Linked DNA regions of Alligator mississippiensis. The protein of the gene in region 1 purifies or fractionates together with the protein of each later gene. This does not show direct contact. Links are inferred from orthologs where the notes say so. Each region holds a gene or a part of one and is shown in the gene's direction. Other genes may lie near its edges.

What was found.
Region 2: the proteins of PPP2CB (region 1) and PPP2R5E purify together in Homo sapiens (affinity purification with mass spectrometry; 5 studies listed by BioGRID and IntAct, counting the BioPlex papers as one, with this or other methods). This does not show direct contact. The link is inferred for Alligator mississippiensis from reciprocal best matches to the Homo sapiens genes PPP2CB and PPP2R5E.
Region 3: the proteins of PPP2CB (region 1) and PPP2R5C purify together in Homo sapiens (affinity purification with mass spectrometry; 3 studies listed by BioGRID and IntAct, counting the BioPlex papers as one, with this or other methods). This does not show direct contact. The link is inferred for Alligator mississippiensis from reciprocal best matches to the Homo sapiens genes PPP2CB and PPP2R5C.
Region 4: the proteins of PPP2CB (region 1) and PPP2R3B purify together in Homo sapiens (affinity purification with mass spectrometry; 3 studies listed by BioGRID and IntAct, counting the BioPlex papers as one, with this or other methods). This does not show direct contact. The link is inferred for Alligator mississippiensis from reciprocal best matches to the Homo sapiens genes PPP2CB and PPP2R3B.

Annotation. Positions count from the first base shown.
Region 1 is NC_081825.1:168,614,439-168,621,275, reverse strand, and holds the start of PPP2CB (serine/threonine-protein phosphatase 2A catalytic subunit beta isoform), read left to right. Parts: upstream 1-3,813; 5' UTR 3,814-3,940; coding exon 3,941-4,042; intron 4,043-6,837.
Region 2 is NC_081825.1:292,128,058-292,135,724, forward strand, and holds the start of PPP2R5E (serine/threonine-protein phosphatase 2A 56 kDa regulatory subunit epsilon isoform), read left to right. Parts: upstream 1-4,645; 5' UTR 4,646-4,784; intron 4,785-5,065; exon of another isoform or gene 5,066-5,393; intron 5,394-7,353; 5' UTR 7,354-7,360; coding exon 7,361-7,517; intron 7,518-7,667. UniProt on the Homo sapiens protein: The B regulatory subunit might modulate substrate selectivity and catalytic activity, and might also direct the localization of the catalytic enzyme to a particular subcellular compartment.
Region 3 is NC_081825.1:284,640,185-284,647,062, forward strand, and holds the start of PPP2R5C (serine/threonine-protein phosphatase 2A 56 kDa regulatory subunit gamma isoform), read left to right. Parts: upstream 1-3,878; 5' UTR 3,879-3,969; coding exon 3,970-3,996; intron 3,997-4,605; coding exon 4,606-4,671; intron 4,672-6,878.
Region 4 is NC_081824.1:337,986,102-337,992,976, forward strand, and holds the start of PPP2R3B (serine/threonine-protein phosphatase 2A regulatory subunit B'' subunit beta), read left to right. Parts: upstream 1-3,866; 5' UTR 3,867-3,989; intron 3,990-4,190; exon of another isoform or gene 4,191-4,300; intron 4,301-5,301; 5' UTR 5,302-5,391; intron 5,392-6,875. UniProt on the Homo sapiens protein: The B regulatory subunit might modulate substrate selectivity and catalytic activity, and might also direct the localization of the catalytic enzyme to a particular subcellular compartment.

The DNA of each region.
Region 1 (6,837 bases):
ACCATTAGAGCAGTAAGATTCTGAAACAAATTTCCAATGGGTATAGTGGGGGGCAAAGGAAAATATCTACTTTAAAGATGGAGCTTAGTATGTTTATGAAGGGGATAATCATAGAGGGAGAAAAAATTATTTGGAGGACGGGGAGGGCTGAGCATGTGTGCAGACCATGGGGGAGCAGATTGAAGCCCCAGTGGTGAGGGAGGGAGTGGGGCAGAGGCTGGGATGAATGGGGCCCCAGTGGGGTTGGGTGGTGGGACAATCGGAACTTGGGCTGCTCGTCCAGGGGCGCAAGCGGGATCCTGTCATTGTGTGCACCTTGGTGCAGGCCCAGGTGGCATGTGCCCCCTCATCTATGTGCGGGGCAGAGGCAGCTGCCACTGAGTGCTGGGCTTTGCTCCTTGCTGCAGCTGCACTGGGAACAATGCGACACCATGTGCATCCACCCATGTCCCTGGATGTGCCGCCAGGCTCTGATTGTCCCACGACCCAGCCTGGCCAGGGCCCCATTCACCCCACCCCCTGTCCCTGCTCTACTCCCTCCCACACTGATCTGTTCGCCCCCCCCAACTCCTTCCCCTTCACAAAGGAAGTAGGCTGAAACTTGCCTGCTGTGCTGGGCAGCCACACACTGGGGCTGCGATCCTAGCTGCATATCTGAGTGTGCACATCCCTCTCCTCTCTGCTGCAGCAGCCCAGAGCCTGCATCTGGGCTGCCCTGAAGCCCTACCTGCTGCCTTGCGTTTGAGGGGGCTAAGCCCTATTAGCTCTGGCCTTCTACCACCTATGGAGATAATGTGAGAGGGCCTTGCAATGGCTGTGGGTTACACTCGGTGACACATGTCCTTTCAAGCACTATGTTTCCTAAAACAAGGGAGGAGGGAGTTGTGTGTATAAATGGTAGAGCACCTGTGGATGGAGGCCTTCTGACACACACACATGGATTCTGTCAACTACACCTTTGAGATGCTCTGAGGTACTCTTATACCTTCAGGTGTCTCCTTCAGCTCCAAACCCCTCTCTGGCATCTGCTGCTTGACTACTGGGACCACCCAAGGGTGCCTTAACTTTACCAATCTCACCCAGGTCCTATTAGCTCTTGGCTGAGGAAGTTTTGCCAGCTTAAGAATCATACTTATTATCTAGCATGTGCTTAGAAAATACTGACCCTCTCCTTTGGAGAAAAGACCTACCTGTTTGCTCAAATGCTCTGAACTCATAGTTACCACACAGACGGTAAGTTATAAAAGATAACAAAAAGATTTATTAGAAAAACAAATGAAAACAGAAGAATCAGTAACTGTATGCTGCATACAGACAGAGATATGAAAATAAACCAATAACTAAGATCTCTGATTTATTCTTTTCTCTGCATCTTAGCCCCTCCAGCTTCTACTTATGACCAAGCCAAAGTCTCTGCTAATCTGTGAGCTCATGTTGCCTAGCCCTAGGTCATGTTGGCCACAGGAGGGACCAGAGCACCCAATGCCTGAGAAACTTTAGTTGCCATGGCAACTCTTAAATACTTGTCCTTATCAGATGGTTTACACTTCTCTACTGAATTTTCAGGAAACATATATTGTGCATACAACTTCCTGCTTCTGGGTATCTGACTGGCAGGTTGGGTGTGATTCCTGATCTAACTATAACAAGGAAATACCAGATATGAAGACTGCTAATTCCATATCCTTGGTTTTCAATTACCTTAGTACATTATAAACTTTGTCTTATTCTCCCTACTGTGAGAAATACAAATCTTCCTATTAGATTGTTTTTAGGTGTTACCTTGGCTACTCTTCCCTTTAAAATGTCAGTTCATCTTTGGAATGGCCAGACGCAAGTGTCTGGGATTAGTCCACAAAGGCCTATCCGGCCAATGATTAAGCTTAGCCAACTCTGATGCAAATTCTTAGTCAACCCTTCCTAAGTAATACTATAAAAATATAAGAATACATTCATATCAAATACCATAATTCATACAAACATATGAATGACAAAAGCCAGGTACAGCTTCTCTCAAGTTATCTGTACATGCCATAAAGCAAATCTAATTCAGGAAAACATGCATGACGTTCCATGAACATTGGGGGTTTGTGACAGAGCTTAAATAGTTGCATTAGTATTGGGGTCTGTAGTGAGGATGCATGTATAAGAAATGGGGGGAGGAAAAATGCGTGTTATGGTTGGTGATGTACCTTGGGAGGAGAAATGGGCTGTGGAGCACACTTAGAGAAGAAAACTGACTTAGTGTAAAGGGATGTGTGGTGAGGCTATAGTTTAGGACAGAGTTGTCCAATTGGTAGCCCATGGGCTCTAACCAAGGCACAGCTCCCCCATCACTCCTGCTGCTGCTTCCGCTGCTACCACAGCTATGGCTATTGGGGGTCTCGGGGCTCCCCTCCAGCTTCTACTTCCTGCCACTTCCTCTAAACCTGGGAACTGGGCAGGGCAGCCTGCTGGGCCCACACAGTTGGGGGGCCTGGAGAGTCTGTACAGCATGAAGTCCTAAGCCACTCAGAAGTTGGACAGCCCTAGTTTGGGCATGGGGCTGTGGGTGGCAGAGAGGTGCATTGGTGTGTTTAGAGCAAGGGTGGCCAAAATTCAGACCACAGGTCAAATCCAGCCTGCCAAGGGATTTTGTCTGGCTCATGGCAGGTCTTTCAGCCCCTCCTGATCCAGGTGTGGGAGGAAGACTGGGCCATGGCTTATGTGGCCAGTTCTGCTGCCCCTGGGTGCACCGCAGGGCTGGGGCAGCACAGCAGCTGGACTCACTTCCCAGCAGCCCCTGCAGCAGCTGGATGCAGGTGGGGTCTCCACGGAAACCAGCCCGGACCTGTGTGGGCAGGGCAGGCTGCTGAGTGCATGTGATGGGGCTGCTGCCAGGCAGGGAGCATCCAGAACCAGGACCATAGGGTGCTCGCAGTGCAGGGGCAGAGCCAAGGGCAGAGCCACAAGCCACTGCCTGCATGTCCCTGCGATGGGGTCCCTGCGGTTCCCCAGGCAGAGGCATGCAGGGAGCAGATTACAGCTCTGCCCCAGGCCTGGGCCCTGACCCCGTGCTGCCGTGGCCCTGCAGTCCTGATCCCAGCCCCAGCCCTGCCCCCAGCCCGTCCTCCTCCCAGATGCTGTTCCCCACAGGGCAGCAGCCCCAGCCCATCTGCCCAGCCATGTGCCCTGTCTGCACGGGTCCTGGCCAGTCTCCATGGAGACCCTGGGCATGACAATGTGGGGCCAGGCCTGGGGCAGAGCCACGATCGGCAATCCGCTCCCCACATGCCCCTGCCCAGGGAACGGGTGCCCATGGTAGCGGTATGCAAGGAGCGGTCCCGGCTCTGCCGGGGGCCCTGGCCCCACACTGCCATCGCCCACCCATCGTGCTCCTGCTGGCTGCCGCTCCCTGCCTGCTTGCGGCCTGAACGCGGGGCAGAGCACTTAGGAAGCTTCGGTGAGCTGTGGCCGCGGGAGGGGGTGCCCACCAAAACTCCCAAAGAGGTCCTCCAGCCCAAATAATTGCCCACCACGGTGTGTTTAGAAGAGTCGTGGTGCGGGCGGAAGGGGCAGTAGGGCCCTTGATGGGTGCAGCGTGACATGAAGGGAAGGAGAGGTGCGGGGTCAGCTCTGCAGGTGGCAAAAGGACGACCGGTAGAGACCGCGGCCCAAGGTACAGCTGAGCCATTGCCCTGCGGGCTCCCTGGGCACAGGACGGGTCGGAGCGCGCGCATGCGCTTACGGAAGCGGCCTCTATCTCCTGCGCCGCCGCGGGCGGGCCGGAAAGTGCGCCGCGCCGGGCGGAGGAGGGGCCGGAAGTGCGCAGCGCGGCGGCAGCCATTACGCGGCGCGGGCCGAGACCGGGTGCGGAGCGGGCTTCGTGCCGCCGTCGTTGGCCGTGAGCGTTGGCTAGGCCTGGGCCGCGCGGGAGCCCGCGGCGGGCAGCGCCGCCGCCATGGAGGAGAAGGGCTTCGCCAAGGAGCTGGACCAGTGGATCGAGCAGCTCAATGAGTGCAAGCAGCTGAGCGAGAGCCAGGTCCGCAGCCTCTGCGAGAAGGTGAGTGCGGCCTTGCCCCGCCCCGACACTCCGCGCCGCTGCCGTTGGATCTGCGCGCCTGTGGGCCGGGTTCCCCCGCCGCTGCAGCGGGAGATCCGCGCTTCCTTCCCGGCCGGGGCAGCAGCACCCCCAGCCGCCAGCGCCGCGTCACCCCGCTGGAAGGGCATTCCCGCCCGAGCCGGCGGGGGCTGAGGGAGAAGCGCAGAGAGCCGCGGTCCGGCTTTGAGGGGCCGGGTACAGACGCGCGGTGCCCGGAGAAACAAGCTCAGGTGAGGACTGGATCCTGCCCTCGTCCCGATGCAAAAAACCCTCTAAACTCAGACATTCAGCACTGTGGCTCCACATCATGGCACGTCTCTTTCGCCTTGCCTGCTGTGTGGGTATGTCAGGATAGGGAGGCTCTTCTCCAGGTCCTCTGTGTGCGTTTCTCCCTGTGTCGCAGAAGGGGAGGCCAAGGCAAAGTGACATAGGTTAGCCAGCAGCTGAGCTGAGACTAGTCTCCAGGTCGTGTGAATGCAAGTCAGGTTCTGTCTACAGCACAGTGTTGCTCAAAAGAAATCAAAGAAACTTTTGCTAGGCAAGAGCCCAACTAAGGTACCCAAATGTCCTTAACTCTGTCAATGATACAGTGCGCTTGAGGTATTTAGAGGTCTGTGGCATAACATTTGCATAGAATTCATTTGTAGACATGTTTGTGCTGTCTTATACCCTCTGTTTATCACAGGCTACGTTGGAAAGCTGAGGCTGTTTGAGTACCCCAACTACCTTTTTAGTATCCTGTAGAGAAGAATGGGGGGTGCTTATTTCTGGGTCTCTCTGCCCTGGTTATTCAGGCCCTTCCAATGCTCCTGTGGTAGTCTGCATTGGAATCAACTCGGTAGTCCAAGCCAGCAGCCAGTAGTGAAACCTTTTAAAAGTCAGAGCTAAACGATCTTATGTGTGTCATTTTGGGGGGTTTTTAGGAAAGTTAAAACCAACAGAATTATTGCATACAACTGGCTATAAAGGAAAAATAGTTATGAGTTATCTTTTGTCACAATTGCTCTGTTGAAGGTTTAGGTGAATTAGTGTCAAAAGACCCTGTTTATGGCTTGTAAATCTTAGTAATTATGTACAATTGCTAATAGTTTAATTTTAATTTGTTGAGATATGCCTTATGCATGGGGCTTTTTAATTAATTAACCTTTTATATGGAAAGTTGATGGCTTGTTCTGTCAAAATTCATCTCCTCAAAGGTTACTGCCATAAGTGCCAAATTTCTTAAACCATTTACTTTTATTTAAATTGTATTGTGAGCAAAGCTTCAGAAAAATTATTTTGTCCTTGCGGTAAGCTTGAGCATGATATGATTTTTTTTTTTCTCCATAAGTAAGGTTTTGAATACCTGCTCAAAGTACAAAGAAAAATACTTGTGGTAATTAGGTTTCTTTAAACTTATCTTAATTTGTATATAACATTTACTTAAACTTTGAAAAATGTTTAATTACTATACTTTTATTTCTTTTCAGTTAATGGTGTTGACTAGTTCTCCCCACCAGGTCTATTGTCCTAAGACTGTGGTAGCCAACTAATGTTTAGTCTTGTAACTTAAAGCTAGGTAGATAAGGAATTTTTAATTGGATGATGACTAAGCCAAGTGAACAAAGTTCACATATAATTCAGGGGGAAATAACTTATAATTGTTAGAGTATTTCATCAACTTTTTTGGTCACCTCAACAGGGGTTGCAAACAGCCCATAGCATAATTTGACTATAATTTCTAGTTGAGGCTTGTAGTTACCTGCAAGACAAAATACTAATGAATAAATATTGGATGCTATAAAACTGCTTCCTGTGCTAGTTATGAAAAACAGGCTGAACTTTGGAGGCTTGTCTATCACTGGTGATATAAGAATCTTCCTTGGCATGGTAATAGTTATGGGGACAGAATTCTATTTCTGTGGTACCTTTAATTGTCTCTGTCTCTATGTGTCTCATGCAAGCAACTTTTGAGCCAACTGCTTAGACTTTCATGCCCTCACCTGTGGGGATATAGGATAGTATGACTCCAGTTGCCTTTAATTCTCTTTTATCCAAGTCGGTGATGGGGACTTAGTAATGTCCACTATGCTCGTTGACCTCACAAAATAGCTTTTAAATTCCATTTTAGTTCTTAACGTACTTCATAAATTGATATAGGTCTGTGAACAAATCTTAAGATTGGCAGTCTTTTGTGCCTGCAAACCAGTAATTAGGCAGTAGACATTCTTCATACTGGAATGAAATTTAATGGACGTAGAAACAAACATTTGTGGCAAAAGTAGGAACAACAAAAGGATGGAGTTCAATACTGACAAATGCAAGATGCTACATGTAGGGAAGAATAATCAAAAGCACAAATACAGAATGGGTGATAACTGGCTTGATGGTAGCCCTGGAAAGAGTAGGTTTTTTTGGCCCTGGTGGGTTACAGACTTGGTACGAGTCAGGATGTCACGCACTACAAAAAAATGCAATTTGGCTTGCAGCAACAGAAATATAGGGTGTAAGAAGGATGATAGTGCTACTCTATCTGGCACTGGTTAGGCCTCACCTAGAATGTACAGTTTTGGGCTCCACATTTTTAAAAAGGATATGTAGAAGGAAGGGTGGTGGGCAATAAAATGATAAATGGTTTGGAAGACAAGGTATACAAGGAAAGGTTGAGAGAACTAGGCATCTTTAACTTGCAGCAAAGGTGATTAAGGTGGGAGACATAGTCTTCAAATACCTTGAGTGCTGTTATAAAGAGGGAAAATACTTTTCTTACTTCATTA
Region 2 (7,667 bases), about 120 Mb from region 1:
AGTCCCCATGGCCTGCGGCTGGCAGGACTGTGGTCCTCAGACACTCAAAAGTCCAATAGTCCTGGTCTACAACACAGAAGGAAATGCTTTTGAGAGAGCTCTTGGGAATGGCAGCTACTCCCAAACAACAACACCCCGCATATACGCATCTTGAAATTTATCTATGCTGTAAGAATAATCTTGGCTGGCTGCTTCACCGACCCGGAAAAGGGACAAGAGCAGGTAGGAACATGCTCTCAATCTTCAGTAAAAGTAGGAAACTAAGAAATAAGGATGTAATAAGCTTGGATGATGTAGACAAATGAGTAGGTCACTAACTCATTAAAAATTAAGGGAGCAAAGACATGGGGAAATGTAAATACTGGTGGGGTACACGTGTGTAAAGCATGGATGGAAGCAGTTAAACCGCGAAAGAAATATCAGAGCAAAAATAAGATGATTCATCTGCAGATGGTGGTTTTGCTGGTTGAGGATAATAACCACTAAAGAATGTAAACTCTGCTTAGCCATGCGTCTTAAACTTCACAGCTAAAAAGAAAACAGAGCCTTCACATGAAAGAGGAGGGAAATCAAAGTGTAGATCGCCTCTTGTTTCAATTGCAATCGAGACATGTTCCAGTAATAAATAAGGGAGAACATAATTATATGGGTTGGTATTCTTTTCCCATATGGGATTTCAACCAGCCAGTTGACCTGTTTAGGGGCATCTTTTAGGCCAGAGAAGGACTGAAATGCTGGAGGCAGAGGCAGTTGAAGAACGACAGGTGAGAAGAAGAGGAGGCCGGAAGAAGGCTCAGCAGAACCTGACGAGGACAAAGACGACAGGCAGAAAAGGAAACTTAATCAGAAATGGAAAAATGTGAGAGGAGTGCCAGAAGCAGGGAATCAAATTAGAGAGAAAAAAGGGTTCCGCATAAGAAACTGTACGATCTAGAAAGTGAGAGAAGTGTCCAGACAGAAGGTGGTGGACATCCAGCCACACAGGTGAGCAATCTCCTACCTCACTGCATTGACTGTATAGGAATAAGCTTCCCTCCTAGTATCTAAAAAACCCCAAAACAATTAGGCATTGATTGCACTTCTGCCAGCGACAGCTATACTCTTCAAATGCCCGCTCCACATGTATAAATGGCAGGTATAGGCTGTATTCAGAACCCCACACAGCAGCTTCTACTGCATCTATCATGATGGAAACAAGACACTGTAATAACACACATTAAAAAAATGGGTGCAACACTCACTAAAACAAATCTCCAGAATAAAGTCAAAACTAAAAATATAAGGGGCAAGTCATCTTCGGTGTAAGAAGATTAACTACAACTGCCCAACTCTAGGGATGAATTTGCTTCAAGATGCCTAATGCTAAAATAATACTCCTTGGTACTAGTACCCTTAAATTGACAAGGCAGGTTAATTATTTAAGAGAGCACTCTTTCACTGTTTGTTTACCTTTGTTGCAATTTCTGTTGTCGTGTAGAAGTGCCTGGTTTACATGCTGATTCAGTTCTTGAGATGATGTTACTGATTCCTGGAGGACACTTTCTTTCTAGTCTTTTATTTGATGGTCCGAATCATTAGTTCCCTGGGGATATCAAGTCTTTCGCTGTTCCAGTAAGTAGTAGTAAGCAGGACATGTACAAATAATTCCCAGTGACCATCCTCCTTTCAGCGTATTGAAGATCCTTTAGTAAACCATTAAATAACTCGGACTATAGACACACATTTGAGACAACACAAGCTCCAGCTGAATAAAATTCTGTTTATTACCCAACAGAAAGACTTTCACAAACTTATCAATCCAGCAACCTTGTCTTTAAAAAGTCTCTACATAAAGACCACCAAGGTGTTTGTCCCTTGTGCCAGGCTTGGAAGAAAGGCTCTGTGGCTTCATTTTTTTTCTATTAACACATTTTCTGAATGACAGATGAGGCTGTAAACCTTAAAGCATGCCTCTTGAGCCACTTTCTTGAACCTTGAGGTGGACCACACCTGGGACTCACTGGTGCAGAACAGTTTCTATGTAGGGAAGAGCCCACCAGTATTTTTCTAGTTTTATGGGTGCTGAGATAAACAGATTCTGCTCAATAGAGCACTTGTGCCTTGTAAATCTGGTGTTAAGGAATGCTCTTTTAAACATTTTCTTTGAAAATCTGTTTTAAAAGTTAGTAGAGAGTTAAACTTGGCAGCAAGAAAGTATGTAGGGTTTTTTGGTTTTGTTCATGCTCCCAGACGGTGCAGCCCCTTCTGGGCAGTAGTTTTAGTGTTCCCCACTGGGTTATCACCTGGTACATTGTAAATGTTCTAAATTACAGTCCCAAGACGCATCCATTTGCTTTTTTTAATTCTTGGAGGACAATTGGAAGACTTATACATGTGTACAAGCTTTTCCTTGAAGCGTTAATGACATCTGAGCATTACTTGTTGAGTTAAATCATTTTATTTCTTGCTACATGACACTCAACAAACGAACATGTATTTGTGAAATTTTCTACTTCCTTCTGCCTGAAGGCCGTACACTTCAGCTTTTCAGAAACAATACATTTTGTAATGTTGACCAAGGGTTTGAAGAGGAGAAAGAAGTAACATCCCTTTAAAATATCAGCAGATTTTCATGAGCGTGGGACTCTCCAGCTACAGACTGAATGCCCCTTAAACATGTGAATGAATACAGACTTCTTCTGTTAAAGGAATATAAGTAGTCATGGGAAATGACCAGAAAATTAGCAATAAAACAATCTGAGCACAAAAAACCCAAGGTGGTAGAAAGTTTGCTGACCAGACGATACAAAAAGGGAAAAAAAAAAATTTAAAATTAAAAAAAACCAAAACCTGTTAAGACTCATGTATTCTTGAAGGGTTCATCGGTACATCTTGAGTATTATAAGAAGTCATTTGATAAGAAACATGCCTGTTGCTGTTAAAATGCATCATCATGCATAGTGTTTTGTTAAATGGCATGTATATAAAGCATCTACCCACTTTCTGGTGTAAATTTGTAGCAATAAGCTCTTTAACAATTTTATAAAAATGGCACGACAGGAAGATTAGTAGAATCAGCACCTGAAAAAAAGTGCATTTTGGTAGTCCTGTTATCAGTAGGAACTTATTTTTTTTTTTTTTTTTTTAGCAACAAACATTTACATAGCACTTCAAATCTATACATCACAAAGCACTTTACACTACGAGGTAAATACATGGCTCCACTTTTTAGATGGGGATACTGAGGCAGGAATATTTCAAATAAATGGTCAAATGTCACCTAGTAGGCCAGTGGCCAAGGGTTCTCTAAATAGTAGTCTATGTTATTTCACCCTTTAAGCAACCCAGAACATCTTCCTTCACGAACAGATTGTGTTTCATGTAGCTTTTGTGTGCACAGGAATCTAGCTCAATCTTGGTATGAAGGACACTGAATAAATAAATCTGGTTAATTTGGAGAACTTAATTTAAGTGACATATGTAACTGATTCACAGAACAGGGCATTAAGTGAAAAACTGGTCTAGCACACAACTAAAGCAGATCACATTTTTAGGGCAAACTCAACCAGTTTACCTTATTGCTGCAAAGTACCACAGGACACAAAGTTGATTTAAGTGGGGATTGCACCTTTGTAGCTAGATGGGGTTAGTTACACCAGTGACAAGAGACACAAAAATCTGTGTCTGCACGTTTGTGCTGAGCTCCAGCCAGGGAGCAGAGGGGAGAGGCTAGCTCTGCAATGGAGCCCAGAGCATGCTGGGGTTGTCTGGCTTATCTTAAACCAGCAAGGGGTCTGGGACAGACATTGCATAAACTGGCTTGATCCAAATCAGTTAAGTCTGATACTACATTCAACCAGCTGCATCTCAAACTGGTTTCAGCCATTTTCAAACTGGGTTATGTGCACTGAACATTTGTTACAGGTTTTAACCAGTTTCTGATCCCTTAAACTGGTTTGTGTGTAATGTCTGTCCCTAGCCCCAGCGTCTGCGGGAGCTGATGTAAGAGAAAGAGCAGCTGCAGAGGGACTGTAGGGCAGGGGCGGGCAATTGTTTCGGGCGGAGGGCCGCTTACTGAGTTTTGGCAAGCCATCAAGGGCCACATGACAGGCAGCCAGGGGCAGATAAATATTAATTTTCTAAGTTTTTTGGGGGGCCTTGTGGGCTGGATAGAGTGGCCTGGCGGGCCGCATCTGGCCCACCCCTGCTGTAGGGTGATCGTGTACTGGAGCTAGGGACAGACATTACACGTAAACCGGTTTAAGGGATCAGAAACAGGTTTGAGCCAAATCAGTTAAGTCTGATACTACATCCAACTAGGTTCATTTCAAACCAGTTTCCGCCATTTTCAAGCTGGTTTATGCGCGCCGAACATCTGTTCTGTTACAGATTTAAACCAGTTTCTGATCATTCACACCGGTTTGCGTGTCATGCCCGTCCCTAGCCCTGAAGTTCAGGGCACATAAATCGCTTTAAAAAAAACGGCTGAAACCAGTGAAAGTTAACGCGGATAGACGCGACACCAGACTCGGCGGATTTAGATTAAATTGGTTTATTGAACGTCTGTCCCCGATCCCCTCCAGAGGCAAGTTAACTCGCAGTCCCCCAGCATCCCAGGATGCTTTGCGCCTCCCCGCAGCCGCCCCTCGTCTGCTCCAGCCCAGCAGGGAGGCTGCTCTAGCGCCCCCCGGCTTCCGGCCTGGGCCACCGCACTCACGCGCCTGCCTCTCCCGATCCAGGGTTGGCTCCGTCTCGGCCCGCGGACGAACCGGCTCGAGGCCGGCTCGCGACCCCCTGCGCCCGGCGTAAGTGCCCGCCCGAGGGGGCGGCGAGGCCGGGGCACGGAGGAGCCGCAGGCAGCGCCGGGCCGACCCCACTTCCTCCAGCCCCAGGGAGGCCCCAGCGCCTGGGGCGGACAGGCCGCCGGGCAAGGAGGGAAGACAACCGCCGCCAGCCCCACGGCGGCCATGGCGGGGGCGTCAACGAGGCGGCGCGTGGCGTCACGTCACGTCACGTCGCGGCGGCGGCAGCACGTTGGGTTGTGAGCGAGCGAGCGAGCGGGCGGGCGGGGGGAGGGAGGAGGAGGAGCGGGTGCTGTGAGAGCGCGAGCGCGAGTGCCATGGCCGGAGCCCCGCGCCGCTGACAATAGGAGCCCGCGCCCGCCCCGGACCCGCCGCTGCCACCGCCGCCGCCGCCTCGCCCCCGCCGCGCGCAGCCTCCGCCGGGAATGTGAGAGAGGCCGCGGGCCGCGCAGCCAGGCCGCCGCCGCCTCCCGCACCGGGCCCAGGCCTGCCGCCTCCACCCGCCGCCGCCGCCGCCGCCTCCCGCCCCGCCGCCGCGCCCGGCCCGGCCCGGCCCGCACCGCACCGCTCCCCCGCGCCGCCCCCTCCGCCTTCTCTGCCAGGAGGGCCAAGGTAACGCTGCCCCCGGGGGAGGAGCTGCAGACGCCCCCGGCCCGCCGGGGAGGGGAGCGGGCGAGGCTGGGGCAAGGCGAGGGCGAGGGCCAGGTGAGGGCGGCTCCTCCTGCCTCCGCCCCTCAGGGAGCCCCCAGGTCCCCTTCCCCTGGCAGGGCCGGCGGGCCAGGGGGCGAGCGCACCGTGGGGCAGACCCCCTGCCCATCCCGGCGAGGCGGCACCTGTCTCCGGAGCATCTCTTCGGAGCCTCGAAGCCCGCCACGGCCCGGGCGCGCCATGCAGGGCGCAGCCGTCGGGGCGGTCGCGAAGCAGCGCCCGCCCCGGGGGCAAAAAACGAAAGAGGATAAATGGTCTCTTTTTTAAAGATGATGCCAGCGTCCCAGCTTGGCATCCTCGGATGCCGCTCGGTCCTTTGAAGCGAGGAGTTTGATGTTTTCGGCGGACCCGGACTTTGTTACGTGCCCGCACGCGGCCTCGCAGCAAACCCGTCGTCTTTCTACGCACGCTTATACCGTCATAAAGAAAATAATAAGAGCCTCCTTCTAAAGCGTAAATCACACGAGTTGATTTAAATCTATTGTATTTGTCTGCGGTAGACCGGTCCCTCAACACAATAGCTATTTGAAGGTGCTCTGTAACATCGGCTCCCAGTAGCAGTAGGTGACCCTCTGATAAATGGAAGCCAGCAGTCGTTTGGGGTGATTAACACCTTCCAAGCTCGTGCTTTAAGCCCCCACTTTTGCATGTGCTTACATGTAAGCTTCACTCGATTACCGTGCGTGTTGCCATTGAAATACTGCTCAGAGCAGCAAAGTTAAACGTACATAAGCACTGGTAGGATTCATATCTAAATCTCTTCCCCTTACATCTTTCTTTTTCACTGAGAAGATACCACGGGACTTTTTGACAGAGAAGACAGCAAGGCTGGCAAAAAGCAAGAGACTGGTTGTTGAATCAACTCTTTCAGTATTTCCTTGTAATTTTGTAAAAGTAGCATGGAATCTGCTCAGGAATACTGGAACGTGAAACTGGAGATACGCAAAGAGATTCACAGTGTAAAAGCTGGGTATTTCTAAAGTGGAGAATAAATGACTAATGTAGTAAGTCTGTCAAGCTTAGTACGTTTCGTTGATGTTTTGAAGCTTAATGATGTTGGTTGGCTAAACTTTCATACATTTTTCAACTTATTTTTATGGAAGGCAGTCTGCCTATTTTATTTGTGCTCCATGGTATATTAATTGTCTACTAAACATCCATGGTTTTGATGGTAAAATTAATTATTTTGCTTGTGCACCCATTAAGGCAGGGGCGGGCAATTGTTGTGGGCGGAGGGCTGCTTACTGAGTTTTGACGAGCCATCGAGGGCCACATGACAGCCAGCCAGGGGCAGATAAATATTAATTTTCTAAATTTTTAGAGGCCCCGCAGGCCAGACAGAGTGGCCTGACGTGTCGCATTCAGCCCCTGGGCCACATTTTGCCCACCCCTGTGTTAAGGAAGAGGTGCTTTAGGGAAGGAAGAAGGAGATCCTGTGGCAACCCAAAGAACGTGTGGTCCTGTAGGCAGATTTTTGCTGACTGACAGATCACCCCTGCATTTGTATGGACTCTTTTTGAAGCCAACAGGTCCCCATGTCAATACAGCAATCGATCTGCCTGGATCCGATTTCAGGATCTGGGCCTAAGTTCAAATATGTAACAAGTGAGTATTCTACAAAATAGGAGAGAGGAAATGAAAGGTTTGCAATAGTACCAGGAATTTATTTTTAAAGTCTGTAAATAAATGAATAGACCATCTCTCTCCTATCCATCTGGCCCACTAATTTTTTCAAGTCCTTGTGGGTGATAGGAGTTTTTAGGAGGGATGTGAAGGAGGTCAAAAGTGACTCTTGGCAAATTCATTTAATCTTTACCTACTTCTGGGCATTGGGAATACGCTTATAACACTTGTTTCTTTTCAGTAGGGATATGTCCTCAGCACCAACCACTCCTCCGTCAGTGGATAAAGTAGACGGATTTTCTCGGAAGTCCGTCAGAAAAGCCAGGCAGAAGAGGTCGCAAAGCTCCTCCCAGTTTAGGTCTCAGGGCAAGCCTATTGAATTAACGCCTCTGCCTCTGCTAAAAGGTAAGGCTCAAGATTTTGTGTGCGATTAAAATAAGTTTTTGGTTTGGTTTTTTTTTTTTTTACAGTTGACTTCAAAATTGTGCTCAAAAGTTTTGTTGTGCCAGAAATTTGAGAGGAAATGTGAGAAAAGGTTCATGACAAACCAGCTTC
Region 3 (6,878 bases), about 120 Mb from region 1:
TGATGTAATGGTACAATAAAAAATAATTTAATTTTAGCTTGCTGGGGAATGTAAATTATTTGTTTTGTTCTCACAGTTTGGAAGTCACCAAATAGAGTACATAGAATTCTCTCTCCTAAAATAACTTCTAAAAACCTCAGCCAACTAATTATATACTATTCTACAGCAGGCCTTGAAAGAGCCAATCGTTATTGTTGGTGAATGAGAAACTTTCCTTATCAAGTACAGTGAGATGGAAGACAAGGTGAATCTGATATCTTTTATTAGACCAACCCAAATGGTTGGAGAATAGTTATTAAGCAAGCTTTCGGGTTCAAAAACCCTTCGTCAGGCTAAGGAAGTGTCAGCAGTCGGTGTGTGCTCTTCCTGGATGGAATGAAAAGTAAAGAAGCCAGGGACTGGGCTGGGCTGGGCTGGGCTGGGCTGGGGAGTCAGTTGCCAGGCAGATCGTAATGTATCAAAAATCCAAAGTCTATGTTTAGTCCATGATCTCTAGTATCCAGCAGGTTGATGAAATGGAGCTCATAGGCTCGTCTCTGGGAAGTGCTGTGTAAGTTTCCCTTGAGGATCAGGACTGAGAGATTGGAGAGAGAGTGGCCCTCCTGTGAGAAATGTGCCCTCACCGGTAATTGGGTGTTTCTGTCTTTGATGGATTTCCGGTGTGCATTCATTCCGGTGTGCAGTTGCTGTCTGGTCTCTCCTACATATCTTCCATCAGGGCATTTGGTGCATTGGATGAGGTATATCACATTCCTGGAGGTGCAGCTGTAAGATCCTGGGATGCTGATGGCTCTGTTGTGGGGTGTAGTAATAGTGGAGGTGGTGGAGATGTGGGGGCAGGTTTTGCATTTCTTGTCATGGCACGGTCTGGATCCTTTTGGTGTGTTCTGGGGTTGAGGAAGTTTGCTTCTGGTGATGAGGTTGGCAAGGTTCGGTGCTTGTCTGAAGGCTAGGATGGGTGGCTCTGGGAAGATCTTTTTTAAGAATAGGGTCTCTTTCTAATATAGGTTGCAATTTTTTGAGGATTTTCCATACAGGTTCAAGGGATGGGTGATAGGTCATAACCAGCGGTGTGCGATTTGTGGGTGTTTTTCTTCTGTACTGCAGCAGTTCTTCACGTGGTATCCAGGTGGCTCTTTCAAACGTGCGATCTACCTCTCTGGAGGAGTGTCCTTGCTGGGTGAAAGCTTTTTTAAGATTGGTGAGGTGGCGATCTCGGGTGTTCTCTTCAGTACAGATGCGGTGGTATCTGAGGGCTTGGCTGTATATCACAGCTTTTTTGGTGTGTTTCGGGTGATTGCTGGTTCTGTGCAGGTATGTATGTTGGTCTGTGGGTTTCTTGTATACTGTGGTCTGTATTTTACCCTTCTAGATACTGATCATTGTGTCTAAAAAGGGGATGTTGGTGCTGGAGTATTCTAAAGAAAGTCGGATGGAGGGATGGTGACTGTTGAATTTCTGGTGGAACTCAATCAGAGATTGCAGGTTCTCACTCCAAATGATGAAGATGTCATCGATGTATCCTAGGTATAGTAAGGGTTTGATGGTGCAGTTCTTGAGGAAGTCTTCCAGGTGGCTCATAAAAAGGTTGGCATACTGTGGGGCCATTTTAGTGCCCATAGCTGTTCCCATCATTTGGAGGAAGTGTTATTAGACGTGAAATTTTTGTGTGTGAGGATGAAGTGTATAAGCTCAGTAATGTCTTTGGGTCTGTATTCTGGGTTGTAATCTTGTTCCTGTAGATATGTAAGGCAGGCTTGGATGCCATCCTGGTGTGGGATGTTGGTATATAGGCTGGTAATGTCCATGGTGGCTAGGAGTAAGGCCTAAATTTCTGTCCAGAAAAATACCCTAATAAAATACTTCAATGTGGAGAACTAGAAGAATTCTTCCAACACCTGCGCCTCAAAGAATATTTCCACGACCAAACTGAACCCACTCCCAACAACTCATCCTCTGACAACATTCAGGAAAGGATCAATGTCAAAAAGCCCAAAAAAATATCAGATTGGACACCTCGCAGTAGACGAAACCCTAACCTTGACCGCTACATTGACACCAACTGCTGAAGCTTCCTTAGCCTGACGAAGGGTTTTTGAACCCGAAAGCTTGCTTAATAACTATTCTCCAACCATTTGGGTTGGTCTAATAAAAGATATCAAATTCACCCAAGGAACCTTGTCTGCCTATGTCCTTAGACCAACACGGCTACAACCCAAACCCCTGTGAGATGGAAGATGCATTTTCATTAATGTTTCTATCATGTGGTCACATACACACAAAACCCCCAAACTTGCCAAACATTATTGGATTAGTCCAGTCTTTCTGCATCTATATTTGGCCTGATTTATTGAGTCCGGTTTATTCAGCCTGGCTTATTCAGTCCTTCTGCATCTATATTCAGCCTGGTTTAATGCCCCAGGAACAGCAAACAGCACTACATTTTCACTGAACTACTTCTCAGGACTTGATGGCTACCAGCGAAACTATCAGTTAATTCTGTTCCATTGCTGGGGAAAAGCTCAGTAACAGCAAACACGCTGGACTGACGCAGGGACGAGGACTAAAAAAAAATGTTAGTGGAAGTAGGACTGGAAGAGACACGTTAAGTCACTGAGTCTAACCCCCTGCTACATAACCCCCTTCTTAAGTGGATCAAGCTCCATCATAAAATGCTTTTACCCCCATTAGCCCTATTCAGAGGCTACTGTGTAGACACCGTATACTAAAGTTACTCACAGGCAACAAGGTCTTTGGGTAATAAAAGTTTTTTTCCAACTATTTTTTTAAGGAACATTTGGATGCTTATCTGCTGGGATCCTTTGACCTTAGCTGACTTTCTGCCCTTTGGGCAGGGGGCTGGACCCAATGATCTTATGAGGTCCCTTCTAGCCCTAATGTCTATGAAATTTATGAAAAGATATTGAATTTACCACCTTGTCTGCATATATCCTTAGACCAACACAGCTACAGCCTACACCCCTGACAGTCACTCACAGGCACAGCAGAAGAGAGAGCATCCCCGCCCCCAGAAATATTAACACAGGGACTGGGAGTGTGGGGAAAGGATAACGCTGAAGCCAGCTCCTTAGTCCCAGTTCCTTGTTTCCAACTCATCACAGACACAATTAAAGGCTGGCAGCGATGAACTGGACAAGCGAAAGAGTTCGAACGTGACGAGAAATAATCCCAGCCGGATCTCAACTCTTTATTCAGGGCTGCGTACTTGAAACACGACACGATTTCACATTTGTATTAGTAAATATACTAATAAAAAACTTATTAGTCAATATACTAATAACAACAAAAAACTCTTCGGCTTGTCGACCTCATCGCGACCGGTCTTCCATGGCGCGCAAGATCGGCGTTGAAAAAGGAACCGGGAATCAGGAACCGACAACTTCAGCCGCCCTCCCGGGGAAGGGACGGGCAGCAGCACAGCGCCTCCCCGCGCCGAAAGAGCGGAGCAGGGCCGGACCCCTCGCGGCGGCGGAGCTGGAGCTGGAGCCGGAGCCAAGCCGGGCCCGGCCGGGCCGGGCCGGGCCGGGTGCGAAGAGCAGCAACAGCAGCCGCCGCCGCCCCGGGCGCAGACCGCCCCCTGCGCGGGGAAGAGCAGCGCTAGCTCTCCCATCAGGGCGCGCGCGGGAAGCCGGGGGCGGCCGGCCGGCTGCGACCCCGCCTCCCGGGCAAGGGGTGGGGCGGGGCGACCCCGCCCAGCCGCCAGCTCCGGAGTGTGACGTTGCCGCGGGGACCCCGCCCCCGGTGACGGGAAGGGGGAACGTTGGTGCCACGTGACGCGCAGCAGCCAATGGCGAGGCGGCGTGCCAGCCCTGCCGGGCGCAAGGGAGGGGTGTGGGTGGGAGGGGGAAGAGGCCGCGGCCGCCGCCGGGAGCCGGAGCGGGGGGAGCGGCAGCGCGGAGCGGGGACCCCGGAGGCCGCGCCGCTGCGGCCCGGCGCTGACCGCCGGCCATGCCGAATAAAAACAAGAAGGAGAAAGTGAGGGGGGCCGGGGGGGCAGCGCGGAGCGAGCCCGTGGCGGGGAGGGGGCGCGGGCCCCCCGGGGGAGGGGCGAGGAGCTGCCTACGGAGGCTGGCGAGGGACGCGGAGGGGCGTCCCGCTCCCGGCGCTAGGGGGAGGCGGAGCCTAATCCCGGGGATGCTGGCGGGGAGCTCCTTGCCTCAGTTTCCCCGCGAGGGGTGGTGCCCAAGGAAGGGCTAGGGCTGGGACGAGCACAGCCCTGCTCGGCAGCAGCCGGGGCCCCCTTCACCCGCCTCGTGCCGTTATTTCTAATGTCAAAATCAGCCCCCAGCCCCGAGTCTGGCTGCAGGAGGGGAGTCGCAGCATGCCACGGGCCTCAGTTTCCCCAGGGTTTGTGGTGGGAGGTGACTTGGGCACAACCCGCCTCCTCCTCCTCCCTTCAGGGCTGCCCTGAGGTAACCAGGTCCAGCCTGTTCCATCCCTGGTCCGGTGCAAGCGACTTGCCCTAGTTGCCCTGGCTTCATGGGTGAGGCTGGTGCAGCCCCGGGGGGGAACCTGCCTTTTTCCGCCAAGGCGAGAAATGGGGCAGAAGCTGGAAGCGCTGTGACGAGCCTTCTTCATTTGCAGGAGCCTGTGAAATCGGGGAAGAGCGGGAAGAGCGGCAAAGATGGGCAGGATAACCAAGAGCATGAGGTAAATGTCATGAAGGCGCGGCATCTTCCCAAACGTGACGCGGTCTTCCCAGATAATGAACGGAAGGAAGCTGCCTCGTACGGAGCGCGGCCGAGTTCCTGGTGATGGGACGGGGAGGGGACCCGCGCGGAGGTCAGGAAACTATGAAGGTTCCTTTGAGGGAGGACAAGAGATCTGTCGAGCTGCTTGCAACTCATGGGAAACGCTCTCAAGGTGTTTCTCGAATTAAAATAGACTGGGTGGACTTCGTGGCTTGCTTTGTGCTTTCAAGAACCCATCGCTTTTCTTCTTTTGCTTTTGTCTGCCTTCATCAGCTATTTGGGGCATAACTCTTATCCTTGCCTTAGCCTTCTAGTCAGGTAATGGGCTTGCCTTTTTTTTTTAAAGCTGCCTACTCAGATTTTTTCACCTGTTAGTTTATCTTCCTCCACAGTTTCCAAAAGCTAGCATCTAGTTCAAGAGAGCCCATCAGTAGCCTGTTTCAAGCTGGACTTGAATGTTTCTAGTTCGTAGCATCCACCTTTCTGTATCTAATGATTTTGCTTTTTATAACCATCTACTGAAGTGTTTCACTTCTGACTGACAGTTCTGCTATTGCTGCTGCTTTGTTCCTTTTATCATCTTGCTGCCTTGCTCTCAGCTCTGCCCACCAGCTAGGTATGATGGTTTCAAAGGGGTCAATTAAATTGTTACTCACACTCCTTCCCACAGAACCTGAAAACATCCCATTAATAGAATCTCTCTGTTTGGAAATTCCAAACCCTGTAATGTTTTAGTGAGTTCTGAAATTCCTTAAAATACATTCACGCTAACCTGAACATATACTTTCACTGAAAAATCCCATGTCTTCCATGTTCCATGGGTGTGTTTGTTATGTCTTTGCTCAAAACATTTCTTTGCTGCATTATGATGTAAACAAACTGTTTGCATTTTTATCCTGCAGAGCAAGTGCTCTATTTGTAGGGAGCTTCATTGAGATTTTATCTGTGTTGCAGATAAAAATATTGTATAAGGTGCATCTTACCAGTATTAGTTTATTCATAGCAAACTGCTAAGTAACCAAATCATAAATGCTCACTGATTAATCTGCATTAAGTTTTGAAATTTGGTCAAGGGAAATAGGCTTTAACAGTAGCTGAAGTTTCTCAATATGAAATAACATTTGCAATAGTTTGCAATAATTTCATTTTATAAATACTCAGTCTCCCCTGCTTGAGTTGCCTAGCTTCAACTTAATTGTATGACATTTAAAGAAACACTTTTTTTTTTTTTTTACTAGGGTTGCACTTCATTAGCAATTATGACAAAAAAAGGTTTTTAAAATCAGTGTCTTTATAGTATATAACTGGACTAGTTTATCCAAGTTGCCCTTATAGAAGAGATTTCTAGGAACTTTTTAATTGACACTTGTTGCTGAGATCAGCTTTCATTTTTTTCCCAATTACTGTGAGCAAACTATAACAAGTTCTCAAATTTTAAGTAAGAGGTGAGAGTTTCAAACACTGAATAGCTTGCATGTGTGGTTTGTTGTGATTTCTTACTGTATTTGCTAATCAAATTTCTGGGTTATTTCTATATGTGAAATTTCCTGCCAGGCAAACCTTGCTGAGGAAGAGCATGCTGTTCTGCTTCAGCATGTAGCTTTTTGTAAAGTAATATATGGAAGAGCAACCCAGACACCATCTTTTTAGGTCCCTGAGGATGCCTTGTGGTACAGGAGGGGGAGAGTGGGATGGGAAAGGAACTGGAATACTGAAAAGGATGTAGTCTGAAAATGTGATGTGCTTTAGCATCTCCAACCAGCATGGTCTAACCAAAAGATCTTGAAGACATGAACACTTTAATGTATCAGCAACATTATTGACAGAATAATTGTATTATAGTATGATATAAACTTAACATTTTTAGAATAAACATTTAGTATACATTTTGGTTACAATCTGCTATGTACATGCAGAGAAAATAGCTTACTGATCAAAGGCAGGTCCTGCCAGACCAACCTGATGGCCTTTTATGACCAGGTAACTAAATCCCTGGATGATAGTGTCGCTGTGGACGTAGTCTTTCTGGACTTTAAGAAGGCTTTTGACACTGTCTCTCACCCCATTCTCATTAATAAATTGAGTGACTGTGGCATTGATGCCTACACAGTTGGATGGGTCAAAAATTGGCTGATGGGGCGCACCCAGAGAGTGGTGGTGGACGGG
Region 4 (6,875 bases), on another chromosome or scaffold:
CCCCTCTGCACTTGCCCTCTGCAGCATTGGATTCCCTGCTCTGCCCGCTTTCCCCGCCTTACTGTCGACCACAGCTTGGCTCTAGTTGGGCTGGATTCAATCCCATAAATAGGTATATGGAAACTCCATCCCTTGCCTGGTCAGTCAACAGAGCTGATACTGCTGTATGGCCTGGCAAGGGCTGTGCTCCCACGTGATGTGCTCCAGGGAGGGAGCAGAGCCTGAGCAGTTTCTAATAGAAATGTGGGGAAGGGGAAAAGGCAGAGACTGCAGGGAGCTGAAAATGAAGGAGCAGAAACTATGGGGAGCAGTGGGGGAAGGGACAGAGACTTCAGGGGGAAGGGACAGAGACTTCAGGAAGCTGGGGGTAGAGGGTGCCAGTGGTGGGGGACAGGGGGCAGGAAGGCTGCAGGGGGAAGAAATGGGGCGGGTGCAGAGGGCAAAGGGGGCACATGATCCTCCAGCCACCTGACTCCCCCAACCACTGCTTTCCCTGCTGCAGCAATGAGAGGGGGACAAATTTAAGACAGTCTTCCAATAATTAGATTCTATACCTGGAAAATTATAACAAATTTATAAATTTTCCATATATAGAACCTAATTATGGGTGGGGGGGTCGTCTTAAATTCATGGTTGACTTAGATTTGAGTAAATGACATATTTTAACTTTCAGATATTAGATATTCTCTTAGAACAGCCACTATATTGTATTAATTATTACTATTATTCAAATGTCTACTTTAAGTCATCTCTCAGTGAAGAAGATGGATACATTCTGCATAAGCTGGAACAAAATGAAGCACATTTCTGTTAATTGCACATTAAGACTGAAATAGAAAACACATGCCATGGTACCCGTATTTATTGAGTCAGCTGAGATATAGGAATAGTAATCAGAAGATGAGTTTTGAAAGGGAAGTCCAATGTCAGGTCTAAGTACAAGTACTCAGGAAGGGTACATTTTAAAGCTTTTTGTAACATTAGCCAGCCAGGTTTGACTTGTACATTTCTAGCAAGCGCAAGTCTCCAGGGGTAGACATACTGTTGAAAGAGACCAGATACAGTGTATACAAGCTCCTTCCTTGGGTCAACCAATGTACCTATTCCTAGTGTTCACAGGTGTCTATGTTAATTGATTATCTTGCCCAAAATGCTATCTGCATCAATGAAGACACAGTGGGACTGATTCCTCTCTCCCTTAAAACTGTGTATATCTTAGCACATCCTATTCAAGTCAGCAAAGGTATGTTGAACTTGCACTAACACGCATAAGACTGTGACCTTGTGTACTTTTTACAGATGTTTTATTTTCTTTCCATGAATTCTGTCTTCTCCCACTGGGAGATCTTATTGCCAGTTTCAACAAGGGGCATAATTTCTGTGTGGATGATATCCAACTCTGCAACTCTTGTCAACTCACTCTCTGATTCCTCGATTGCACCTGTCTTCATCTATCAATCAACAGATGACTAAACCATCATTAAGGAATGCTTCAAAGGCATTTAAAATATTTTAAAAGTCTTCTTTGTTCTATGTCTCTGACTGTATCTCTCTTATCTCAGTCTTTTGCAATAATCTTATTATCCATGGCAATACACTTTTTTCTTTTCACATCTTAAGTCTGCTTTCCATTACCTCCATGGAGTTCACGGTCCTTACCTCTACCTCAACTTTGTGTATCTAAAATGCCTTAGTTCCCATCTTGCATAATGCAATTCAGTTTTTGGAACTGTATTTTGGTCTTTGGAAAATCTTGTCTTTAAACTTCATCATCCACCGAGCAGGAACCAACGACTACCTAACTCCAGAAAGTGGGGATCTTCTCCAGGTGCCTATCAGCTTTAAGGTTTACAACTGTCACTGTATAATACTACTTACACCAGTTGTGATATTTTTGGTAGAAGACTATCAGATTATTAATATGGGAATTGCTTTCCTGGTCTTTGTGACTTCTGTTGAGTTCGAGAACCTTATTACTCCTTTGTTCTTCCAATATTTCTTCCCTCCTCTCCTCAAAGCTGGGGAAGTGAGCCTACTCTTTCAGTAGCCTAGTTTAATTCCATCTGAAACGTTCTCCATCCCCTCATATCACTGAATCATTCTTTTATTTTTACTTTGCTACTGTTTCATGTGGGCAATATACAGAGGAAAGAACACTTTCTAGCAGGCCCCTGTTCTGAATTCCTGACATTTCAAAGATTACCAGAGCAGTCTACAACTATCACGACCACTATCAGCACCACAGATGTCAATGGCAGCCATAGCAATAGGTTTAGCTTAAATCCTTTGGGTTTCTTTCATTGTAAAGCATTAGTAATATGGTTTAAATAAAATGCAATCACATAAGGAAAATTGGTGCTGGGAGTAGGGATCTGAAGTGAAAATACAGAGGGCCTACAGCTATACTGAGTGGCCAAAATGTGAGTTTAAATTTGTGTGGGGGAAGAGATGAGGATGTGCCCCTAGAATTCCTTCCTAGTGCTAGGCCTACCAAGAAAGATCCAGTAACATAGTGGTGAAATATCTAGGTGTGACACTACAAGTATTTTGAAGCTGAAGGGCACAAGAAAGAGATAAGGGGACTTTAAAGCCAGAGGACCTCAATAACATGTGGATATGCCTGAATTTTGTAAAAAAGATGGTCTTACATAAGTGGTGACCAACCTTTTTGCCCCATAGTGCCAGGTCCCTCCCCAGGCAGGATGCATCTGGTGGGCCTGATCCAGCTGTGGGGTGTTGCTCAGCGTAACTCTGATCCATCCACCTGGGTTGGGGATGGATGGGGATAGGACAGAGGCCCCGATACAGATGGTTGGGGAGGGTGGGGTGAAGCAAGCTTGATATAGACACATGGGGAGGGAGCAGGGGTAGTGGAGAAGCCCCGATCCAGACATGCAGGTAGGGAGGCAACCTGGCAAGGGTGGGGGGGGAGCATCCTAGCCCAATCTGGACTGGAGGTGGGGAAGCAGGCCTGACTGAGCCCACTGTGTGGGCAATGGCCCAAGGAGGCTGGAGCTGGCTGTGTCGTGCATCTGCTGCACCCTGCTGTTAAATGTTTGGAGCCAGGGGAGATCCCTCTGGGCTGAATGTCACAGGCCAGACACTGAGCATCCCTGCCCTCCACGCAAGCTACTGTCCCACTAACTTTTGCCCTTCCCTTCCCCATCCTGCTCAAGGTTTGAATTACTGGGGAGCAGGAGAGGGCTGAGAGCGCCCTGCTGTAAGATTTGAAAATCATAAGGGGGGGGGCTCTGATCTTATTAGGGCATGCATGGGCAGCCCAGTTGTTTTTGCAGACCACCCCCTCCCCCAAGACTTAAAGTGTAATTTGAACACTGATCCTCCTCCTAGCCTGAGCAACTGCAACCATTTCCCAACAGAAAGGCCCAGGGGCCTATGTAATTGCCTTTCATGCAGGCTTGGGCTCGCTTACTGGATTGGACCAGCTGGGAACAACCAAGGGAAAACCCACGGGGACAGCGCCCTCCGCCCCACGGGCCAAGGAAATGGGTCAGCTCTAAGGCGGAGGCACGTGTAAACGGAGCAAAGTGCGGGCTCCCAGCGGCGCTCTATGCCCCACCCTAGGGGCATGGCCATGGGGGTGATACTGCACAGCCTGCTGGGAAAAGAGAACGCGGGAAAGCCTCCGAGAGAGAGCTGGGGGCGGGAAGACGGCGGGGTGGTGACGTCACAACACAGAAGCCAGAACCGACGCGGTCCAGCCCCGCAAAGTTCCTTTCCCGCCCTCCCGTCGCCACGGCAACCGGCCGCAGCTTCTTTCTCGTCGGAGGCGTCTCGCGAGACTTGCCCGCTGTCTAAAATAGAGCATTCGGGGCGGGACGAAGAGGGCCGGAAGTGAGGTGCCGATTTGAAGGCGGTGGCGGGAGGAGCCGGAGCTCGGGGAGGTGAATTGGGAGGTGTCGGAAGCTCTCTCCCCCCTTAGTGCAACAGTTCCCTCCGGCCCGGCCCGGTGGGGCCTGCGCTTGGAGGTGGGTCCGGGGGGGCGAGAGGGAGCGGCGGTTTGTCCCCCGGTTCCTAACGGCTTCGGGCGTGGCCGGAGGTCCCGCCCCGCCCGGGCCCGAGTCCGCCTGAGGGGCGGGGCGGGGCGGTGCAGGTGCCGCGGCTCCCTGCGCGCACGTGCGGAGCAGGCAGTTGAAGGGAAGACGGACGCGGGCTTTAAACGGCTCTAGAACGCGAGCACCGCGACTGGGGAGGCGCGGCACTGGTACCCGAAGCCTCCTGCCTCAAGCGGCTGCGGAGTATATGCGCTTGGGGCGTATCAGCTGGGGGCGGGGCTTTGGTGAGAGACCCTGTGGGATGTACCAACAGGTGGTGGAGGGGGCTCTAGCAAGACAGTGCAACAGGTGGCAGAGGGGGTCGATCTAGAGAGAGACATTGGAGTGTACCAACTGGTTGCAGAGAGGCTTCTAGGGAGAGACTTTGTGGGACCTAATGTACCTGGCTGGCTCTTTGTATAGCTGGACAGTCACTTTAATTGTGTGATTATGTCTTCAAATGGCATGTGTGGCCAGTCTAAATTTATTGCACAGTTGAGTAGTTAATTGTGTAATACCGGTTTCTCTAGCTTTATGCTGTATGTATGTTCCTGGAAAATGGTGCATAATTCGAATTCACATAAAAGGAATACAGTTTACAATGTAACAAATAGGGATGCATTCCAAGACTTTGACTGTGCTGACCCCCAGACCCAGAGAAGGTGTTGAAGGGTCTTCAGTGTCAGATTCCATATCGCTGGTAGGATGTATAGGCAGGGTAACATCCATAGGAGAATCAACAGGCACAAGGCTCTCATCACCCTCCAACACCAGTGGGGAGAGGATGGGGGTAGCTGAGTGAGGCTTCAAGAACTGGAACATCCACACTAAGGAGACTAAATTTTGGTGTGCGTCACTCCCATAATGCATCACACAAAGCTGACTGCAGGCTTCCACCACACCAGTTGCATAAGAGTGAATTTACCTTGTATATAACGAATTTTTGGTATAAAAAGGGTTATCGCAAAAGAGTAAATTTGCACGTATAGAAACGCAATAAAGTGAGGGAAACCTGTATATGTAATGTGTAGCAGGGGCCTTGCAAATACTGTGTCCTATCATGTCTTCCAATTTGAGTTGGTGTATTACAAACAATAAGCAGTGAGCAGTGTTACTTCATTGCACGTGGGTTTTCCTAGTAGATGAGGAAATCAAGGTGCGAGTTTAGGTAACTTGTCCAAGGTTATCAAGTAATCCACCTAAATGACCAACATCGAACAACTTTGATTCTGTTCTCACTGTTTAGTTCTAGCCTTCTGCTTCCTGCCTCATATTGTGGCCTCTCAAGAAGTGAGAATGATGCAAAGCCCAAAGGCCTTGTAGCCATATCAACAGAGTAAGTCTGGGTAGGATAAGTCAGCCTATTCTGGGTGTGGGCTAGACCAGTGGTTTTCAACTTTTTTTGTACCAGGACCCACTTGTAAACATTGATAGCCAGTCCTGTCCCAGTGCCCCTCACTCCTGACTTGCCCTCTGCCCCCAGGTTCCAGCCCCTAAAGGTATGGGGAAAGGGGTGGGTGTGTGGGGTGGGAGGGGCATGGGGGGCCCCAAGCAGCCCTGGTTTCCCATGGTTTTTCTTTACAGGTAAATCCATTTTGAAACTGTTGATGCAGTTTTAAAGCTTGTTTGTGACCCTTTCATATAGTCTTGTGACACACTTCTAAGTCATGACCCATGGGTTGAGAAACACTGGCCTAGATAATCCACCCCAAGTCAGAAGCAGGTGGGTGCCAAGACTCAGCTGCTGCTTTTGTTTCTGTGGCAGCATGGAGAGAGCTCCCTCACAGCCAAAACCCTACATCTGTAGACTAGATTCAGTGGTTTTTGTGGACCAAATCCGGCCTGCCAGCCAGATATTCCCAACTCCTGGGCCTTGCCATCACTTGAATGATAGCATGAGAATCCCCAGAGTGAATGCTGGCAGTCTTTCTGCTGCAAGCATTACGCCAGCTGTGCCCACAAAAGGGGTTTTGCCAGTCTAGCTGTGTCAACCACTAATTTTTTTTTCCCCCATACCCATGTTATTAGCTGATGGCACTCTAATGTAGATTAAGCTTGGGTTTCAGTTATTTTTATGAACTATAAAGGTTAAAAATCCATTAAAACATACAAAACTTTCAAATTGTGTCTCCATATTTATTAAATGAACTAAATTAAGTTTGAAGATGATACCCATAACTTACCTGTATACATTTGATAAAAAAACCTCACTTATATTGATAGATAACTTTAAAATGTTGTGTCTTTGTTATCACTTTAAGGCAGTGGTTCTTCAACTTTTTAGACTCAAGGCACCCCAAGGTGGACTCGAAGAATCCCTTGGAGAATATCAGCTCTGTTTCATTCACTTTGACTACAGAAAAACAGTAGAGTAATTCTATTGCAAAGAACTCTGACCACAAATGATCAAAATGTTTTTAAGACTGTGGATTCCTTTCGGAAATCTGTGTTTATCATGTGAAATAATGTTTGCACTCTTAACAGTTCTGTGGCACCCCACAACACCCCTAAAAGGATCTCAAAGCATTGACACCCGGGTTGAGAATCTGCATTCAGACAATGAGAAGTTGGAGAATTAAGACTGAACCTTCACCCTTGAATGTTTGATTCCCCAATGTTAATGATTTTTTTTAAAATGCTAAATTCCCTAAAACACGAACTAATGGAGTTACATTGCTTATTGTAGTAGTTTTCTGGAGTCGTAGCCAGCCTTTTGAAGAACTATCCATCATCACCAAAGAAAAGACCTTAAAACTCTCTGTCTTCACAGAGAGAGATGGAGAAAGCTGCCAATGTTTGACAAACCAGATCAATGTTTAC